2 linked regions of the Ovis aries genome follow. The protein of the gene in region 2 interacts with the protein of the main gene of each other region in a biochemical or structural test. Links are inferred from orthologs where the notes say so. Each region holds a gene or a part of one and is shown on either strand. Other genes may lie near its edges.

The links.
Region 1: the proteins of PDZK1 (region 2) and SDK2 interact in a test that uses a peptide from one of them, tested with the Homo sapiens proteins (2 studies listed by IntAct, with this or other methods). The link is inferred for Ovis aries from reciprocal best matches to the Homo sapiens genes PDZK1 and SDK2.

The regions. Positions count from the first base shown.
Region 1 is NC_056064.1:57,165,547-57,172,807, reverse strand, and holds part of SDK2 (protein sidekick-2), read right to left. Parts: intron 6,852-7,261; coding exon 6,657-6,851; intron 5,655-6,656; coding exon 5,453-5,654; intron 4,564-5,452; coding exon 4,460-4,563; intron 3,983-4,459; coding exon 3,912-3,982; intron 2,378-3,911; coding exon 2,242-2,377; intron 695-2,241; coding exon 638-694; intron 1-637.
Region 2 is NC_056054.1:99,016,891-99,024,151, forward strand, and holds part of PDZK1 (Na(+)/H(+) exchange regulatory cofactor NHE-RF3), read right to left. Parts: intron 6,325-7,261; coding exon 6,188-6,324; intron 5,345-6,187; coding exon 5,149-5,344; intron 2,977-5,148; coding exon 2,780-2,976; intron 1-2,779. UniProt on the Homo sapiens protein: A scaffold protein that connects plasma membrane proteins and regulatory components, regulating their surface expression in epithelial cells apical domains.

The DNA of each region.
Region 1 (7,261 bases), on a different chromosome or scaffold from region 2:
CCCCCGACCCAGGTGGGCGTTCTAACCACCCTGACAGCCCCAGGCCTGCGCCCACGAGGAAGGAAGATGAATAACTCAGTCTAATGTGGGCCCCTAACGGGAGGCTCCCTGGCTCAAGGCTCTCGGTCTTGGGGAGAACCAAGCACCCTCCGGGATATTATGAAAACAGTGAGGTCAGGGCTCCAGGGCACTGGCCAGGGACCTGTCCTGGTCCCTGGCGGAAGAAGGGGCTCTGCTCACTTCAGGGTGGAACTCGGCGGACAAGACAGCTAAGCTGACAAGTGCCTCTGATGGACGAGACGGGCGGCAGCAGCGTGACCCCCCACCCATCCAACCAGCGGGACCACCAGGTCCTGCCGCGGACCCCGTCACCATCCCCGGCTCCCCAGAGCATAAGGCCAAAGCCATTTTCCTTTCTCTTCTGTCCTGATGGATGAGGGCTGGGACAGACCCTCCTGGGAGACCCCCTGCTTTTCTGTGCATTTCAGGAAAGTCGCGTGTGTGCAGGAAGGCGCCTTTCCTCAAGCAGCCTGAGGTGGGCGTAGCCCTGGGCTGCAGGCCGGAGTCCTCGGAGGCCCCTCTCCCCTCCCCGTGGGAGGCCTGGCCCGTCGGGGAGCTGCTGTGCAGGGGGACTTACTGTCCAGCTCGTACTGCGTGAGGCTGGGCCGGCTCAGGTTCCGCATGGAGTAGAAAGCTATGGGGTGGGGTCAGGGGGGTGGTCGGGGCAGGGGGTGGGGTGCGGAGGGGGCCGGAGGGAGACAGCAGACAGAGGAGGTTAGTACACACACCCACCGCGCCACAGAGACCCTGATGAGGAGGCGGGATGGGAAGACACATGCAGAGGGAAGGGCCTTCCAGATTCCTGAGTTAGGGGCTGGGGCGGGAGCGGGGCGGGGCGGGGGCAGGCAGCTCCCAGGATGATGCTGCCCCACCCTGGCGTGCACCCGCCGGAGGTCACAGGGCACCAGGAGTCCCTGGGAGCCCAGTACCCCCAGATGGAGACGGTTCTGAGGGACCCTCTGGGCCCTTGTCTAAAGGCTGAGTTCCTGCCGTGATGGAGCGGTGTCGTTAATTTCCTCATATGAACCAGAAGCCATTTTACTACTAGGAAATATGACTGTATTATACACAGGCCTATAAAATCACAACCACCAGCACATGTCTGCCAAAAGATTTAAAAAAAAAAAAAAAGAATGCAAGCTGTTGGATCAGCTACTTCTGAGTTTTTTTCTATTAATTTTCCTTGGCTCCGCGTTCAATCATCTTGTCTGCTAATACCCTCTGGAAGACAAGGAGCAGAGGGTTTAAGAGAAGGATGGAAGGAAGCGTCAAGACGGATCAAGAGGATCTTAAGCTGCTCCTCCGCTCCCACCCGTCTCTGATCTGGTCCCACCGCCCATCCAGGGACTGATTCCTGTGACCCCTGCCCATCCCCAGCAAGAATCAGTGGGGGGTGGACCACAGCACGCCATCTCCCAGTCTGGCTCGACTCAGTCCCAAGCCTGTTGCCTCGGGGCCACCCTCCCGCTCTCCCCTACGTCTCCTATTCGCCTCTACTTGGGCCCCCTGCCCCATCACCAGCCGTCATCTTCAAGTTCCCGAAGTAACTGTCCTAACCGAAAGCAGGGCGCATCCTTCCTTAGCTTGAATGATTCTGCGGTTTCTACTTGGCTTCTCGCGTCTTCCTTCCAGTTGCAGAGGCCGGCTGGGCTCCGAGGACCCCAGGGCAGAACAGTAACCTCCCAGAGGAACCAGAAGGGGCCAGACTGCTGCCCTTGGGACGCGACCAGGCTTGGTTTTGAGTCCTTCCCACCTCAGGCCCTTTGCACATGCCAGGACCCCCCCACCCCCGCTTCTTTAAGACCTGGAATCATCCATCAGGGCCATCGCCACGGGCATCCCCTGGGACGTCTTTTCTGACGCCGCCGGCTTTAGGCTCCCCTGGAATGTGCCCTTCACAGCGGTCAGGCCAGCGGTCTTAGACGCCCCTACCAGGGCTTTCTTCTCCAGCACCTGGCTCCTCCTCCAGCCCGCTAGCTCTGAGAACGCAGGGACCCTGTCTGCCTTGCTCCCTGGTATCCCCCGGTGTCCGGGGGCGTGTGAAGTGCTAAGGAAACACGCACTTGGTGACTGAACTGAGACGCACACACGGGGAGGGCGGCAGGGTTCCAGGGTAACCAGGTTCCGGGAAGCTGGGAGGTTCAGGCTCCGCCCACCCCAACTCCCCCCGCTGTCACTCACAGGTGAGCTCCGCCCACTTGGCCCCTGGGTTGTTGATGCCGCGCAGCGTGAAGCCCCTCAGTCCGTCGTAGAGCAGCTCTCGGTAGCGGATCCGGAAGCCCAGGAGGATTCCGTTGATCTTGTCCTCCGACGGCGGCTGCAGGGCAGGGGGTAGGAGGATGGAGCCGGCTGGGCTGGACCGCGGCCCCTCCTTCCCTCCCTCCCTCCGCACACCGCCTCCCGCAGGCCTAGAGCAGGGACTGTGTCTGGACCAGGAAAAGGAATTGAAGTGGCACTGAGCAGCTTTAATTTCCGAGCATTTCCGGCGAGGTTATTCCACCCCTGTAGCATTCTCTGTGAGGCAGGGCACGGCAGGGATCACGACGCCATTCCCACCGCACAGAGCAGAAAAACGAGGCTCAGAGATGGAAAGGAGCCTTCCCAAGGTCACCCAGCATCGTGGGGGCCCTGAGCACGACTCTGGATGCAGGGCGAGTCTTAGAGTGTCATTCCTTGTCTAGAAACTTCCTCACATGATCACCCACCCTGGCCAAGATCTCTTGGAGTTTCCCAGGAGTCAGGGAACTACGTAGAGGCCCCGCCCTGCTGTACAGCGAGACCCAGGGCGAGCGTGTCTCCCTGAGCTGCGCCTCTGTGTCTTTATCGTTTTCTCCTTTGCTTTCTGCTCCCGTCCTCAGATGAGCTGGAGAACAGGCTTCTGGAGAAGGTGGAAACTGCCTTTTATGACACCTCTTCTAAAAAACCTGCCGCAACAGTTCAGCTTTTTATGAGCTCCTTAATTGCGTCCCTGGCTGCATCTGGCACCTCCCTGCTGCTCACTCCATCAGGACGGCCCCGCCCTGCTCCAGCCTCCACTGGCTCCTGGTTGCTCCAGGTCATTTTCTCTTTGGGGACCGTCCTCCTCAGGGCAGGCCTGGGGATGGGGGAGGGTTGGGGAGGGTCCCTCCTGTTTCCTCCTCAAAGGCTTCCCCTTCAGGGGATCGGCAGGTGGGCAAAGGTTGGCACCTGCCCCTCTAATCCTGAGAAAAGGAGACACTAGTTCCTGGTTTTGGGGCCTCTGGGGGTGACTGGACCCCATGGCTGGACTTCAGGGGGTTGGGGAGGGTCGTGAAGGTACCCAGGGGCAGCCGGCTCTCTGAGAAGTGTCCTGGGTCTTCCTCCGGCCATGTGAGAGGCAGTGCCCACATGAGCAGTGGCTGGGGGTGGGCAGGGATGGAAGGGGGATTCTTTGTACCTGGACGGTGGGTTCCTGCTCACAGGTCAGAGCCCGGCCCGGGCACAGGTGAGGCACACACACCTGTGTCTGGTCTCTGTTGGGAACCCCTTCACTCAGAGCAGGGCTGGGTTCACGGAGACCCTGGATGCCCCACGCCTGTCTCTGTCCGAGGATTCTGCTGACCTCAGGGCACCTAGGGCCAGCCAGCAGCTGCGTGACCTGGGACTTTCTCATCCCCTCCCTGAGTCTGGGTCCTCATCCACACAAGGGTATGTGGCGGGATCTGATTACGGGGAGAGGAGTGAAGGGTGTGTCCGTATACATGTGAGCGTGCGTGTCTATGCACGTGGGCACCGTGTTCCAGTCCTGCCGGGGCTGGTGAATTGCTGGTCCGAGCACAGACTGTGACCGAGTCTGCGTGGGACATGGGCCCCTCCCCACCTGCCGGGCGTACCTGCCATCGGATCAGCACCGAGGTGGTGGTGTGGGGTGTCACCGACACGATGGTGGGCGCTTCGTCGGGGGCTGTGGGGAGAGGTGGGCAGCTGAGCTCTGGGGCCCCTGGGAGGCCATGGGGACCAGGTTCCACTGACCCTGGTCCTGTTTCAGGCATAGTCCCCACCCCCACCGCCCGCCCCAACTCCTGCGCAAGAATAGCCAATGTGGATGGGGAGAGGGGCCGGGACCCTGACCCCAGCGCAGACCCGAGGGCCTGGAGCCTCCCCTCTCTGCCCCCCACGGGTCTCTCCACGCTGACGCGGCTTTCTGGGGTTGGCCATGAGCTCGGAGATGTGAGGACGCCAGGCTGGCTGAGGGTGCTGAGCCCTGGAGAAGGTCCCTCGGACCCAAACCTCCTTGGGAGTCTGCCCAGGGAGCCAGACCAAGGATCCAGCAGGCCTAGGGTCCTTCCATCTTTGGAGGCCTCCTCGCCACAAAGAGAATGCCCAGCACCCAGCAACTGCCCAGGGGACCGAGAGAGAGACCCAAGCAGAGGGTGCTGACCGGCTTGCAGGGTGGTCAGGGGCTCTGACTCCTCGCTGAACTCGCTGTCTCCGATGTCATTGGTTGCCTTCACGCGGAACTTGTAGGATGTGAAGGGCTTGAGCCTGTAGAGGAGTCGGAATAAATGAATGGGGGAGGTGTCCCTCTAGGTCCCCCCAGGGCAGCCCCAGAGGGCGAGGGTCCATTACACAGACAGGAACATGGAGGCTCAGAAGGGCGGTCTGCTATGAAGGCAACAACCTGGGGCTTAGGCCAGGCCCTGGGGCCCCTAGACCGGGCCAGCTCGGGGCGTGGCCTCACCCTTGGTCCCAGCTAGACGCCAGAGGTCCCCAAGTGGAAACGTCCACATATTTCCTACTTCGGAGGGGCCTGCAGGCGGAGTAACCCCACTGGGAGCTGATCCTGCCCCTAAGAACTGCCAGCCCGCTCTTGCACTTAGTAAATTCAGGAGGGGCTGAGGGTCTCAAGAGTTAACCAGCACTTCATCTCCAGGAGGCTCATTTCCTCTCCAGGCAAATGGCTTCCTTTTTGATTTATTGGGGGTGTGGTGGGGGGTGGGGAGGAGAAGAGTATTGCTCAAAACTCTCGGTCACGTCAACTGGAATATTAAAAATACATCCTAGTAGGAATTAAATTGAAGGCAGGATTTCGGAGCGGAGCTCCACTCCCCTATTAAAGATGGAGAAGGAGATGCCGGCTGGCTGGCGGGATCCAGCTAATGAAGAGTGGCCAGCCTCTCTCGAAGGAGGGGCTTCTAGACTCCAGAAATAGATAATTAAGAGGCAGCCCTAACAAGGCTCCAGGGAGGGTGGGGAGGGAGGTTCAGACACAGCTGGAGGGGATGTGTGTGGATGGGGAGGGGTCTGGGGGATGGGGGCTATGGAAACCATGTGGGGCTGGGCTCCGGGCCCCCAGGAGTCCCTTTCAGGGTGGTGCGGCCCCGGCTGGGCGGGGCAGGGTGGAGAGGCTGGTGGCCAGACCGCGGGGCCTCACCGGTCCACGAGGAAGGTGGAGGCGTTGTGGCTCACGGAGGCTGAGTGCAGCGCCCACCGGCCGCTGGGCAGCTCACGAGTCTGGATGGTGTAGTAGCGCACGGGGGACAGCCCGTCGCTGCCCGGCTCCCAGGACAGCAACACGCTGCGTGCCTTCACGTCCTCCTGCTGCACCACCGGCTTGCTGGGGGGCTGCGGGCGGTCTAGGGGGGTGCGCGGAGCAGGGGGCAAGCCGGTGAGCAAGCGGCAGGGGGATAAGAGAGGCACGTTCTCGCCCACCTCCCCAGCCCATTTCCACGCATAGCGGACCCAGCAGTTAGCACTGGGGCTCCTGGTCAGCGGTGGTCCCCGGACTAGGAGAGGCCTGGGTGTCTGGGAATTCACCCCACTCGCCCCCCAGGGCTGACAGTGAGAGGTGTGGACATCGGCTCCTTCGACCCGTGTCTGCACGGGGCTGTGATGGGACCTAGGCTGGTCCTGATGGAGTGGGGCTGAGCCCACGTTCCCTCCACGGGACTCGGCCTGTCTGCCCCCCGTGCGTGGTCCCCTCTCGTGTCCCCACGCCCTGTGGCGGGGGTTTTCTGCACTTTGGCTTTGGGTGAATGGGTCTCTATTGACGGGGCCCGTCCTGCACACCGTGGGCTGTGTGCCCACACCCACTAGATGCCAGGACGCCTTCCTCTCCAGGTGTGACAACCCAAAGGCCTCCAGACTTTGCCCAGTGGCCCAAGTCACCCTGGTTGAGAACCACTGTCCTGGGTTTTTTTTTTCTGGGAACACTGTCCGATAAGTCAGGTTCACAGGGGTCTGGGGATCAGGCCTGCTGCTGGGGAACCCGATCCGGGGTGGGAAGCCGGGTCAAGGCCACAGGGCAAAGGCAGCCGGGGCTCCGGGCTGCGGCCCCGTTTTGTACCCAACTGGACCCCTCTGTCAAGGGGGCAGGGAGTGAGGAGGGAAGTTGGCCTCACCAACCCGCCCTTTGGAAAACCAGTACCGGCTCAGAGCAGGGTCCTGGGAAGGGGACCGCCCCGCCCAGCTCCGGAAGTCTACTGGAGCCCGTGCCGGCCTTGGGGACAGAGAGGGGAGCCCATTCTTCATTCGGGACCAGGACAAGAGACTCACAGCTTGTCACTGGCCCACCCCTGGCGGGGCACCAGGAAAGGGGGTGAGTGCCTGATCCCTCCCCAGCCCCAGGGGATGGTTACCTCTCTTCTCGGTGGTCACCACCAAGGCCTCGGCAGCCTCTCCCCACCCCTTGCGGGTCTGGGCCGTGATGCGGAACAGGTAGACAGACTCCGGCTTGAGGCCGCTGGCCGTGAACTGGCGGGCGCTGGGCGCGAGCACCTCCACAGCGGCGGCGTTGGCCGAAGTGGCATTGAGCCGGTGGGTGATCTGGTATGCTGCGGGGCGGGAAGGGGGGTTGCGGCGCTGGGAGGCAGGGCAGGCTGCCCCCAGGGCCCCAAACCCGAGGCCGCCGCAGCATCTGCCCTCGAGCCACTCTGGGTCGCTCTTACATCCTCAGCTGCCCCCTGGGGAGTGTGACTCTGGGGGCCTTGGACCGGTGCGTCCCACCCCTTACCCAGCCCAGCCCCCAAGGAGGACACTGAGGCTCAGAGAGGCCAGACCACCTGCCAGGAAGTGACCGAGCTGGAAGTCCAGCCAGCCCAGGTCTTTCTGAGTCTAAGTCACGTGCCCTCCCCACCTCCACTCTGCAGAGGCGTGACTATCACCGGGAGGTGCCGGGATTGAGAGCCCTGAACTGGACACACGTGGTCCAGTCCCCACGTTACAGGTGAGGGGCTGAGGCCGT
Region 2 (7,261 bases):
CTTGTACAGGAGACACAGAAGAAGCAGGTTTGATCCCTCGGTTGGGAAGATGCCCTGGAGGAGGAAATGGCAACTCACTCATTTTCTTGACTGGAAGATACCATGGACAGAAGATCCTGGCAGGTTACAGTCCATGGGGTTGCAAAGAGTCGGATGCAACTCAGCAAGCACATAAAGGAGCATGCATGAAGAGGACTTGATGCCTGAATTCCCTTTACAGCAGCTACTGTAGTGACCTTCTGACTTCTGTTTGATTTTTTCCTCCATCTGGGAGCTTCCCACTCTGCAAAGCTTTTTCCTGGTACCTTTGGTTGTCTTTAAGCCAAAAGCTAGCTCCTTATGCCTTCTCTATTTGGTGAAGCTGTGCCCCATAGGACACGTCAAAAATAAGTCTATTTCCCACATGTAATAGCCTTTCAAATTCGTGTGTGTGTGTGTTATTTGTGTTAAATCCATTTATCTGTCAATGGACACTTGGGTTGGTTCCATCTTTTGGCTCTTGTGACTTGATTTGTGGCCTGGCACATGGTCTATTCTGAGGACTATCCCATGTGCACTTGAGAAGAATGTGTATTCCACTGTTGGGTAGAGTGTTCTGTGTATGACTTAGATCTAGCTGGTTTGCATTGTTCAAGTCCTCTAGTTCCTTACTTCTGTCTGGTCGTTCTATCCAGTATTGAGAATGGGCTATTGAAGTCTCCAGCTATCATTGTAGAATTGTATTTCTCTTCAATCTCATCAGCTTTTGCTTCATGTATCTTCCCAGCTCTAACAATGTATAATTGACAGTTACAGCTGCATATGTTTGAGGTGTACACATCATGATTCGCTAGACATATACATTGTGAAATGATTACCACAATCAAGTTAATTAACACAGATCCGTTACCTTACATAGTTACCATTTAGCCTTTTAAATTCTTGACAATGTTTTCCTTTCTTCCCCCAAACCTATGGTTATTCAAACTAAATATTCACATAATGTCTTACAAAACCTATTCCCTGGTTACCTTTCTTGACACTGGCCTAAAGTGAGGTTGCCAGGACTGGGCTCATTGTTGATTTACTCATATAACACTTAAGAACTACCCTTTGCCATAGATACACCTACCTTACAATGAAAGAAACAGGCACAGGGAGGGTTATTTACCCAAAATTACATTACTGGTAATTTCAGGTACAGTCTGATCAACTCAGAACAGTAATACTATCATCTTCAAAAGCCAAGTGTCAATTAATGTAACTTTAAATTGAGGTTTTTGGGTAGGGGCAGCTACTTAGAGTGTCATCAAGTTTTCTGTACTTTTTTCTATAGTCATCAGTTCAGACCTCACCATTTGGTGTTTATACAATTTACTTTTAAGTTAGTTTAGTACTTGAAATATATTCCTGATTAAACTTTAAACTTACTAGTTTTTATTCTTCTATCTTGACTATTCTTCTATCTTGATATTTTAAATACTAGTCTCTAGTAATTATCCATCAACACGTTAAGTCATCTGTATGATTTAAGTATATTAAATATGTTTTCCATGTCTCCATCCACATTTAATAATATGCTAGCTTAGGAACAAACAGCATGCTGTTAGAGTCTGTTCGGGTTGACATTTGGTCCAGTATCAAGTACTCTTAGGTATGGTTGTTCAACTAGCTAAAAACCCATTAATTTTTCTATCATCCAGTTCACTCGTTAGTCTTCTTTACACAAAGGTCTTGAAATATCTATTCAAAATGTGCTGGGAGAGAGTATGGCATAATTAAAACTTGCTTTCAAATACTGACTTCAGTCTTTGCTAAAATGAGTGAGTTTAGCCAATCACTTAGTCTCTCTAAGCTTCAGGATTTTTTAATCTGAAGGAGGCTAATTCTACCACCCATAATATTCCTCCCTCTATATCATTTATATGCCTTTGGATGCTTCTATTGTATATCACATAGAACAAGTTCATCTTGGTTCATTTTTGTGACCAACACCCAACAAGGCAGATGATACTTTAGAAGGCCCCTGAATGTCTGCTAAGCTAGAGTGAACCTCAGTTCTTGTGATCAAAGTGTTATTTAAAAAAAACTTTAAAATATGTAGACAATAGCTATTGTGACTAAGAGATAAAAGGAAATAAGGTTAGTTTGACACAGCTTGGTCTTGGTGAATCTATGTTTCTACTCCCTTGCTAAGGGTTTATAAACTAGTCCCTGTGGACTTCCCTTCTGGCTCAGATGGGAAAGCATCTGCCTATAATGCAGTAGACCCAGGTTCAATCCCTGGGTCAGGAAGATCCCCTGGAGAAGGAAATGGCACCCCACTCCAGTACTCTTGCCTGGAAAATCCCATGGATGGAGGAGACTGGTGGGCTACAGTCCATGGTGTCGCAGAGTCGGGACACTACTGACCAACTTCACTTTCACTTTCTTTAGGCTTTTACATGGGATTGGTAGAACACATTGGTCTACAGATTAAAATCCAGTCATTCCCTATTTGGGAAAGTTAGGACTACATCTGTTTATTTCCAGGCTATTGTTCATAGATTTTTCCTAGGTCACCAAGAGAAATTCTGCAGTTACATTTGCAAATTCTTTCAAAAATCTTATTTCCAAGGACTTAAACCTCATGAACCCATCACATTCTCTTATCTACCAATTTGAGCTTCAGTACAGCCTTAATGATGATTGTTATGCCTCTTCCAGTATGAAGATCAAAGTGGTAACTTAACCAAAGTTTGAGGGTGTGAGTGAATGGACCCAACCTTAATTCATGAATATGTGACCTTGTATTACTTACCAGTTTATATATGTTGTCTGTCTCTTTGTCTACCACCAGCAGAGAGGTCTGATCTCCACCCTTTCTAATCATTTCCACCACAGTGTCATGATCAAGGGACTCCACAGACTTGCCATTGACAGCAACCACCAGGTCATTGTTCTTCAAGCCAGCCTTTTCTGCTGGACTTTTGGAATCTATGTCCTTGATGATTTGACCTACCCACCCCCCAAAAAAAATTTAAATAGAATTACCAGAAAGATCCATAGAAAACAAACTGGGGGATTTCTGCTGGGGCCTAAAGCCTTTATAAAATAGATATAAAAGGCATGCTGAGTACAACTCCTTCCCACTAGGATATCTATACACATCCTATCCACCTCGCTCTTTGGTCAGAACTCATTCTAGGAATAAACCCAGTCATTAATAATGAGAGTCTTAAAGAAAAGAATGTTATTACTAAAAGTGTTTGGGATTCAATCTTGGCAAAACAGCATGCTAAGCAGTAAGGGTCAGCAAAGTCCCAGGAAATCAGTGTGCATACTTGTATGCTTATGTAGAAGCTAAGCCATAAAAAAAGGGGAGGAGAGGATGGGAAGAATGGTGAACAAAACCAAAGAATTCAGACCCCAGGAAACCCAAGCTAGCCTTTTAGTAGCAGTTGGGCAAATTCAGTTGTGAATGGATCTGTGAGTGCGTGCCACACAGATGGGTGTTGAGTCTTCAGGAATTGAACCATCTTCACCAGAAACCTTCAGATCTCTCACCCTTAATTTTTTTTTGACCCTCATACAGTTTTAACAAGCTCCAATTTCACTTTTCCAGCTAGTTGCTTGGCATCTCTTGGTCACCCGTTAGTGGGAGCACCATCCTCCTGTCACTGACAGGTAGCATGATTCTTCCTCAGCATCCACTCCCTGTGTCTAATCAGCCAAGTCCTTCAGTGCTACCTTAATATTTTTACACATCTCTTCTGGAGCCCTAGTTCCTCCACCTGAAATGCAGTTTGTATTCATTCCTGCCTTGAATTCTTCCTAACCTGCTACCTTACCAGCTGCTCTCCCCTCCTTGTTTGCCTTCTCCAGTACAGACCTGCCTTCAGATTCATCTTGATGCACCGTCTGAGCGAGTCACTCCCCAGCATGACAGCGTGAATGTGAGCTTTGGAACTAAACAGACCTAATTTTGATTCTAGCTGTACTAGAACTATTTGACCATATAAAAATTGTTGTATCTTCTTCAAGTCCCCAGTTTCAGCAATTCTTACAAAATTATTAGGAGTAATTGAGATGTGTAAAGCCCGCAAGACAATGTAGGTTTAATTTTTCTTCTCTCTCACACTGTTCAAAAAATAACTCCCCACTAACTCTGAAAATAAGTCTAAACTCCTCAGCATGCACTAACAGTCCATCATATGTCTCTCCGACTGACCTTTCTAACTTGATTTTCTGTGCTACACTTTAAATAGCAATCAAACTGAGCCTGTGTCTTCCTGCTTTATTCACGCAATCCTGTCTTCATGGATTGGACTTATCTGTCCCTACCCCATCAACTTGCCTAAATTCTATTCATACTATAAAGCCAGAGCTCAAGTGCTACCTTTACTTTGAGGCCTCCCAATACCTTTTTCGTGAGGAAAAACTCGCTCCAGCATTGAATTTCCATAGTATCTTACCTGCCCTGTTTTAAGATGTTTCTTACCATCTACCTTCAGTTATGGACATATATGTCTTATCTCCTCTAGTAAATAGGGGTCTTCTTGACTGAAGAATTCTTATCACATTCATTTGATATTCTCAAAGATCCTGAGGATGTTTTTATACCATATGAGTCAAATTAATGTTTCATAAATTAATGTAAATATATATGATGGAAAGAAAATGGTAATTCTGGGTGAATAAGTTTTCATGGCCTGAACCTACATTTTTTTTTTTCGTAATGTATTCAGCTTGTGTAGGAGGACCTTAATTCTTACTGAATTACAGGGAATCAGAAAGACTCCTGGTTCTATTCATGTCCCAGATCCCCACCCACACCCCTGCCTCAGATCTAGTGGGATGTTGGCGCTGTCACACACCAGCTCATGAGAATACTTCTCAACTTCGCGTTCTATGACAGCTGTTGTAGCTTGAAATCAGACATGGTGGGAGTATTTACACCACAACGAAACAACACATACTACAAATTAGGGCTTTTTTTTAACCCCCCAGAGAGCCAATTTACTGGCATGCTACTGCTCAGATCCAAAATTCTGCTTTATAATTCTGCTATGAAAACCTAAGGATACCCTGATGGGGGGCTGGGGGGCCTAATGGAACTCTGGGGAGTCAGACTGGGATGAAGAATTGGGTGGTTACACTGCCAAGTTTTCTGCTCTTCAAGTGCCTTACCTTTCTGTTCTGGGCTTTCCCTCAGGTAGAAACCATAGCCATTGCTTCCCTTCTTCATCTCTACAACACGGGGCTGGCAGGGTAGCAGTTTCAGACTGGCTGTTTCTCTCTTGACTTTTATCTTCTGCTCGCTATGGTGCTTGTCAGTTTCCTTGTCCACAAGCAGGAATGTGATGCGGCTTCCAGACTTCTTCACCTGCAACAACAGTCAGGTGAGGACCAACATCAGTCTCCAAGAAAGATGCTGGGAAATAGGAAAGTTTCTGTGTTGAGGCACACAGTCTATAGATTAAACAGGATATATGGGATGTAAGTCCTGAGCTTAATTAAGCTGTAATACTGTTTTGTACCACCTCACTGGTATTTATTTATCTTCCCTTATATAGTTGTTTTTCCCTTTGTTAAGTATGACGTCACCCACACAGATGCTAACTGAACCCAAGTGAAAGCCAGAATTCAGAAAACCCAGAAAGGTACTTAGGTGAAGACTAGGAAAGGAATTTGGAAAAGAAAGTAAAGGTCTACTTTGAAATACCATTCTACCAAGAAAAGATACAGTTGGTCAATTTTCAAGGTTCCATATGACCCCAAAGAAAAACCTCTGAGTGTTTTCCGTGCATCCTGCTGGGGCATAAGACTTGGGGTATAGCACATCAGATACTCCCCATGTATAACTCGATATTCATCACCCACACTAGTCATCTTCCAGCTTGTATTAAAACACTTTAGTAACATTGATTCAAGATCGAATTTACTACAAGTTTAGAGAGTGATTCCAGTAACTTACACATAAGATCCAGAAGATAATGGTTCTTTAGAACACTTTTCTTCAAGACAACATGAAACTAGCAAAGGCCTCATTCCAAAGCCCTATGTTAACACTGCTTACACCACTAATGAGTCCGTTGGCTCTTAATACGAAGGTTTAGCTTCCCATATCACAGTCTTCCCATCATAAACTACCATTCCTGTCTTCCTGTCACTTCCAGTGAGAGCAGAGTGAACGTTAAAGGCGAGAAAGTGCTCCTTTGGGATATACCTTTTCAACCACCTCCTCGTGGCTGGCATCCTCTACATTCTCTCCATTCACTTCAATCAAGTGGTCATCAACCAGCACTCCAGCTTTCATAGCCACACCTTGAGGTTTTATATCAGTCATGTACACTCCAGTTTTACCTGAAAGAGAGTAGGGGGTAGACAGGTGTCACAGCTCCATTACACTGAAAGTCTAACAGCAAAGGGTTTTCTCCCAATAATATAAAACTAGAACTTTGCATTTTAGGACTAACTCAGATAGACTTTGATACAGAATGACAATTAGAGCTCATAGCACAAACTTGACACAGCCATTACTCAGTTGGTTTTTATTGATTTGAATAGGATTTCTGAGCCCAAATAAGTACAAAGAAGGAATCGCAAGTGGCACTGGCCTCTTGAACCAGAAAGCAGCGAATCGTGCCCACTCAGCATCGCTGTGTCATTCTCCCTTTCCTTTGCATTTGTAGAATTAGACGGCATCTGCTCTGTTCTGGCCTCTTTAAAACTATCACCAACTACCACAGCCCAGTGGACTGAATAAATCTCACTGATGCAGGCTAAAGCACACAGGCACAGGAAGAGAGGAAAGCACAGACACATATGGTCAGGCTGGATTAGCAGGGAGGAGGATTCAGGTGCTTCTTAAAGAAGTGCTGTCAGTGCTGTCGAAATACTAATATTTCAGCCTAGGCAAAGGGTACCTTCATTATGACTATATAAACCATTTGTAAATAATCATTTAAACTCTGCTTTCTCAAATACTTGGCATTTCTCCTGTTACCTTTTTATATGTTTGTCCTGAAGAAAACATTTTCTTCATAAAGCTAATTTAAACCTTTCACCACAGACATTACACAAAGGCCAAACGAATAGTCTGAACTGCAATTTCTTACTTTCTTTCTTTTCTTTTTTTTACCATATTACTGATAATAAACCTCTGAGAAATGCCAAGCTTCCCTTGACCACCTATATCACTGTGTTTTAACAACTGGCAAACTCAAGAGATATCTCATAGCTAGTTTATTTCTCTTGCTAATAGGTTAAATAAGCCTTAGAAACCATGTGTAGTATTGGT